Linked DNA regions of Drosophila melanogaster. The protein of the gene in region 1 interacts with the protein of each later gene in a pairwise test. Each region holds a gene or a part of one and is shown in the gene's direction. Other genes may lie near its edges.

Region 1 (4,233 bases):
GTTTATTAAACTTTTTTTTACTGTGTATACTCGAGTATACGGTACCCGGTTATTTTACATTTATACTACTGCGCCCCTATCGACGAACTGTTTGGGCGACATCTAGCGTCTGTAAATGAAAGTCGCATTGCCGGTAGATGGCAGCACAGTAATAGTTATGTGCTTATTTGTAATGTATGTAGGTCCATTTCAATATTAACTTTCTATAATTAAGTTGCGGGAGGTCTCAACCTGCGGCAAGTACTCACTAAATCCTTACTGCGAGATTTTTAAATTCAAAAACTACATAATGGCAATTAAATGAGGCTAAGATGAGTATTTATATAAAATAAATGTTCTCTTCGGTAGCGAGTATTGATATAGATTAGGCAAAAAATCCATTTTCAAAAAACGAAAGCCTATTCCCATCTTTGTTTCGTGCAACCTTTTCGATAGTTATCGATAGAGAAAAATCGAAACACATATGTTTGGATCATGATACCTTTCTCTTACGCCGTCCGAAAGAACTGGCAGCCTGGGAAACAAAACTTATTCGTCATCAACTGAATAGCTATTGTAAACAATGGATACAAAGTGTGAGTAAAAAACATAAATTCAAGAAGAAAACTATATATATACTCACAATAAGCCAGCTTACGAAAGGAAGTGGTGTACATCCAACACCCGACTTTTATTGTCCCTTTACAATGAACGCCAAGCTGATTTTCGGGATCCGAAAAAAAAGATCAAGGACATTTGGGGGGAAATGGTCGTTGCCCTTGAAAGCCAGGGAATGACAGATATCGATGCAGTTCAGCTGGATCGAAAATTTAGGAACCTGAAGAAGACCTACTATAGCATAAGGAGCAAGCTCCTGGCGAAGGTACCGCATTTCCATCCAAACTGGCAGTTCTACGACGAGATGTCCGAAATTCTAAAGGATGACCCTGTCCCACCGCCGCAGGAACTTTCCATCAATGATTTCGATGAAGCGGTGGTCAGTTTGGAGACCGGTATCCAGAAAGGCAGGATGCTGTCTATGGGCACCACTGTCAGCACAGTTATTCCCCGCCAAATGCGTACGTATCGCAAACGAAAGCAGCCATTGGATGATGTCGATATCAAGATCCAGAAGGACTACGAAGTGCAAACGGATCGGCAGCGGGATGGGGAACAGTTTACAGTCTTTAATGCCGCCGAACCCAATACTAATGATTTGTCAGAGTCTGCGGCCGAGATCTCCATCAGCAACGACGAAGAGGCATTGAGACACCTAAGAGCGCTCCAGGAGTACGCCATGATCCATGATAATTTCAGGGCCATAGGACTGCTAATACAGGTGGAGCACGCCATTCAATATCCAGCCCAGATCAAGGACTTCGAGGTGGATCAAACGTAGTGTCCTTATAAACAAGCACGTAATCTACTGGAAAAGCAAAGATAAGATAAGGCACATACCTAATTTATACCTCTATATTTAAGATTTTAATATTTTATAATATATATACTTTAATTTACTTTATTTAAATATGGTTCATGCACTTGCTAACACCACTGAAAAATGAATCTGGTTCTAAACAAATCTGGCTTGGGTATTGGCTAAAATATTGCGCTGTGGCAATACCGTTTTCTAAAACCTATAGTTACAACAATCTAAAGGAATTTCACAAGAAAAACCAACATTTCTGAAATCTTATTAGTATTTTGAAGAGTAACAAAGTGAATCCTGCCGAGATCAACGCCGATCTGTAAGCAAGTTCGTCTTGGAAATTGACAAAAACCGAAAAATCTGGCAGCACCAATATGACACTAAAGGTTCAAGAAAAGACCTTCGGTTGCACAAAATAGAAAATTCAAACATAATTGAAAAGAATTAACTAGTATCGTGAAAACATGTAATACAGTTAATAAAAAGTTATAGTATTATGCAATATTGATCAAATGAAGCAAACTTTATCGATAACTTCGAAATTGCAACCCTAAATGCATCGGATGGGCAATACCAATCTGAAGTCTACAAAAAAGCATATTGTGGAAGTCTAAGTTTTGTTAAATTTATGGAAAAGGAATCCAATTTATCGGACAACTTGCAGTCCCGGTTATTTGCACTGGGTCCTGCCCCGCCAGGATTTCGTCCACCGGATGCTACCGCCTTTGCCACAGCGGAGTCAAATCTTCGTAATGCCATCCGCTACCTTAATGATACCTATGGCGAGCTCGATCAGCTGCGCACTGTCATCCAGAAGGAGAAGAATAACTCGAAGCGTACGTCCTACAAGGCGCAGTCCATGATGCTTGCCATGCAAGTGATACGTTTCAAAGGACTTATTGGGAAGTACAGGGACATTCTGATTGGCCTGCAGGATGCCGAAATCATCAAGGTCAAACAATACATAGAGCAAATGGTGGAGATGAGGAACAAAATCCAGGCAAAGACCGATCCCACACAGCGCGAGTTCCAAGTGGGCAGCTCAATCTCACTGGTGCAGGAACAGCGCAAGACCAAGAGAATCTGCCGCAGGTGGCGGGATCGCCTGGTCCAGCTGACGGAGGCCAAGATGGACAAAACTGAGCAACTTACTGAGAAACCAAAGCTGATCAATGTAAGAACCGTTACAAAAGAACTTATACATATTTTCATTGCGCTTCCAATATCCATCCATGTTTTCATGAAAACTCTCATCGAATTCTGATCGAATTTCGACTGAACTCGATATGCTTTTTTAGAAACCTAGAAATATGTTAAATGCAAAAACCAACAAGTGGAAGGAAGCTGTAAGCTTGGTGAGTATAGCCAAACATATAAAGGATAAGTTAAATGCTAGTAAATATAAAACTAATCCTAGCAACAAAGCGGTCTAATTAAAAGTGGCTGTAAGAGGTGTGAATACCTAAGAAAGCTGACTAAGAATCGTCCATCCAAACTTTGTAAGGTGTGTAAAAAATGGTCTGATGATGAAAAAGCAAAAGCGGCAGGAAATAAGAAAGCCAACAAAACGCCAATAATGGTATGACACTATTGAAAAGTCGCAACATAAATTAATACTATTATTGCAGGCGAAGTCGAAAAAATTAGAAGTACGCGTGCGTACGGATTCTGAAGAAGCTATAATTAAAATAGAGATAGAGGTGGGTGTGTACAAGTAGATCAACAGTAACATTAGCACTTATTATTAATTTTCTTAGCATGGTGAATTTACCGATGAAGAGGAAATTGGGTCATTGGAAAAGGAAACGACCTTAAAAGATGAGATCAAGGAGGTTAGTTGTTTCTTCAACCTGAAAAATGTGTTTAATTTTGGAATGTTTTTTTTTAGACTGTTGAATCTCACGACACGGCAGCAGTTGAGGTAAGTAAACAGGTCCTTGGACTGTAATAGAACTAACGTAACGATAAATGACTCAATGACAGGAGGAAAATGAGACCAGTCAAGACGATGTGGACCCCAAAGTAGTCGCTTCCTTACAAAATTCACTGAAATCCATCGACTGTAAAAATATGGCCTTGGCCTACGTGAAGGTCTTACAGGAGTACGCCATGTTAAATGATAACTATCGGGCCATTGGACTACTTACTGAAGTTGAAAAATCAGTTTTAAATCCGCCTCAGAACGAGGATTTCGATCTATGATCTTATTGACGCCACAAAAATAAAGTTTAGTTTTTATATGTAATCTACAATTAAAATGTTCGTGTGTCCTGCCTTTGAGAGTCAAGACCCAAAATGTGTAAATAATTGTAATATGCGAAAAGAGTTTATAGAGTGGAATAACCAACAGGGTCCCACTTAAATGTGGTAAACGTTAAATTAAGCACTAGATATAATTTGAGCAAAAATAGCTTTATATATATGTATGTGTACATATCAAACCAGTTTCAGCTCAGATTAGGTGGTAATGCGATTTGTGTTTTTCGGCATGTTAAACCAGTTATAGCTGCTTTAGCGAGAGAATATTTACTCTCGATCCGAAAATAAATCCCATACCGCGAACGAATACCACCACGATCGGAATCGGAACGTGGGAAGTCGGTTTAGATCGCGAGAGAAAGAGCGGAATGTCTCTCGCAAAGATACGGTTTTTGCCGCTCCGCCAAACGGAGGAGAGTCCAGATCTCTGCAATGTTCGGACCGCATGCTCAGTCATTGAGTTGCACTCGCTCTGGCAACTTTAAACACGTGCGACCGCACATATTTTCTGTTTAATGTGCCTAAAAAACTGCTGTATATTTTCAACAAAGTGTACTTTATGCTCT
Region 2 (2,745 bases), on another chromosome or scaffold:
CCGGCAGCCAGGGAAGAGGCTACACAGCGTGACAAAGTTTATGGACCACAATGGAGCTGCAGCTCACTTAGTATTCTCCGCTCGGATATAAGCTCGGTAAGGACATTCAACGTGGCACAACGACCAGGACTACTACCACACACATAAATTATATGCCTTTATTTGGGCAAAACAGTGTAAAACGCAAATGCAACCTGATGACAACAACAGGCTGCGTTATGCAGCAACAACAGAACCAGAAGAAGCCGGACCCAAAGACGTGGCAACAATGAGACTTTTCGGCAAACAAACGAGGCAAACTAAGAGCGCTTTTCAACTAATGACGACGAGCAGTAACAAAAACGTTTTCAAACTGGGCGGCGGCAACAAGTTGAGCCGTTTAGATTTAGAGCTTGTAAAGTGTGTGCGGAAAATTCAATAACCAAGTGATAACAACCTCAAGAACAGATCCAAGTTAACCCGCTGGAAGACCAGGAAAATCCACACAACCACTCGAGCTGAAGGATATCGGCAGGGTAAATGCACAAATGCATATGCATACATAGATGTATGTGTATGCGTATGTAGGCAGGCCGGAGAGATGACAACAAAAGCCAGCTTAATGGCAATAATAACAGATTTTAGCCAACCACAAAGAAAACGTCAACAGAGGCATACTTTTTGGCCACCATGCTGGCAGCAGCAGCAGCAGCAGTTCGGTTAATGGCAGGAAGTTCACTTCACAGCCAGGACGACACATCCTTGCAGCAGTCACTTTGAATGAAAATTCATTAAGTGAAAATGCCTAAGCCAGCAGATGAAACAGAAAGGAGCAGCAGTCCATCCTCTTAATAGCCGAAAAAAAAGACCGCATCGTTGGACAAGCAACCACATCCATCAGCCGGCCGATTGGCTCAATTTGCATGCAATTAAAAATAAATTGAGGCACCTTGTTCTGCGGCTAAACTAAATAGTGGCACCGCATTCGGTGGAGCCCACTTCCAATTTTCAGTACCAAACTGGTGCGGGGGTGGGGGGGAACGCGACCACCGCAGTATGGGGCCAAAAAAATTGATTTCAACTTCGGTTGCCGCCGCGTATTTATAGGCTGAATTGTCATTTTCTCCTCTTTTCTGGTTGCTGCATTTTTTTTATTATTTACTTCAACCCAATCCTGAATGCTAACAAAGAGTTCTCGAAAGGAGAGCGTAAAACAAACAAATCACGGACCGATATGCACACATAAAAATTCATAAATATTCTATTTTGAGTTGACATTTTGACAAGTGAATATGAATATTGCAGTCGCAGCGCACAAATTTATAATTGATATGTATAAATAATGGACAAAGCCATTTTGTAAATGGGTTTAATGAAATGAACGAGTGTAGCTCTTGTAATAGCTCGCCAATTACAAACAAAGCAAAACAAACAATAGTCGAAAAAGAAGAGTGGACTTTCTGGTGCCCTGGGCGCAAATATTTTTCAAAACATTTAATTTATTGTATTTGAAAAGTTGTAACGATTTTTCAAAAATATCCTCCTAAAATGGCAAGCAATTTACTTTCATTTTTTTAAGCAATAGACTTTAATAAACGTTTGATGAAAAAAAAAAATCATCAAGTTCACCCATTTAATATACCCCTTAAATCTCAATTTACAGGTGCCATCGCTTAAATAAAATATACTTAATATTTCACATTTGGCGTTAAAAGCAAAAGTACCCAAAAGCCAGTTAGCTGCAATTACAATTAAATTAAATTGGTTTATGGTAAGCAACTTTAATTATGTTCGATAGCAAAACAAACCAAGTCAAATTTGCTTTACACTTCGGATCGCATGGCACAAAATAACACCGAAAATCATGATTTAGGGTGAAAAAAATTTAAATTTAAATCGAAAGTTGTTTTCCCAGCCCTTAAAGCCCAGATGGACAGCGCCGATGAGCAGCTGCAGCTGGATCTGGACAGGATATCGATGGAGAGTCGCCAGGCCAGCAGTTTCGATGACCTCATCGAGCTGACCAACAACTCGGAGCGTCTGATGGCCAGAGTCAATTCCAGCTTGGATGACCTAAACACCGCCCTCGACAACCTGGAGGCTCGAACGGACCGGGTTCTGGTCGAGATTCGGAGGCTAATCAGCTCGGAAATGCCGGCACAAGGTCCGCACGATGGATGTGGCGATCCAGATGCCAGGGCGTAGGCGGGCGAATGGCTGTGATACGTAATGTGATAATAAATAAATGTATTTTATTTTCATATCGAAATCAATTGATGCTCAACTGCTCATAGGAATTGAAAAGTGATTGGTCGTAGCTCTTCTTCGGTTTCGAATCGAATGGGGATCGAAAACTTCGCGGGGGCATTGAGGCCATAGAGGCAGAAGATCCATAAAACGCCCGACAGTTTGTTTGTTTTTTATGAGAACTGTAACCCTAGCACACAAATAATTAGTGAGCTATTTTTATGGATCTTCGGATGCGGGGCTGCGCATGCGCAATGCGCATTGAGCAGAAGTATCAAGGTGCTGGGGGTCTTCATCCACAATCTTAATTAGAATTTACATACATTTTCAATATGCGTGTGTGTGTGTGTGTGTGTGTGTTTTGTATTTGTGCACATGTTGCACTGCATTTGAAGATCTCGTCGTGCACTTAATCACTTGAGCCGTCGGCACCATATGGGGTCCTTTCTTTTACTTCTTGTTGTCTGTGCCCCGCGGCATCTGGTGCATGGTATATGTAGTAGACTGAGCGGTATAACC

What was found. The genes of interacting proteins can lie anywhere in the genome.
Region 2: the proteins of CkIIalpha-i3 (region 1) and CG13838 interact in a two-hybrid assay, tested with the Drosophila melanogaster proteins (one large-scale study listed by BioGRID).

The regions. Positions count from the first base shown.
Region 1 is NT_037436.4:708,087-712,319, reverse strand, and holds CkIIalpha-i3 (CKII-alpha subunit interactor-3), read left to right. Parts: upstream 1-1,958; 5' UTR 1,959-1,962; coding exon 1,963-2,010; exon of another isoform or gene 2,011-2,036; coding exon of another isoform or gene 2,037-2,072; coding exon 2,073-2,582; intron 2,583-2,706; coding exon 2,707-2,763; intron 2,764-2,825; coding exon 2,826-2,987; intron 2,988-3,036; coding exon 3,037-3,108; intron 3,109-3,165; coding exon 3,166-3,240; intron 3,241-3,296; coding exon 3,297-3,329; intron 3,330-3,391; coding exon 3,392-3,610; 3' UTR 3,611-3,719; downstream 3,720-4,233. Other genes in the region: CG13896 (uncharacterized protein), read left to right, coding at 563-575, 633-1,378.
Region 2 is NT_033777.3:23,040,425-23,043,169, forward strand, and holds CG13838 (uncharacterized protein), read left to right. Parts: upstream 1-1,816; 5' UTR 1,817-1,908; coding exon 1,909-2,184; 3' UTR 2,185-2,245; downstream 2,246-2,745.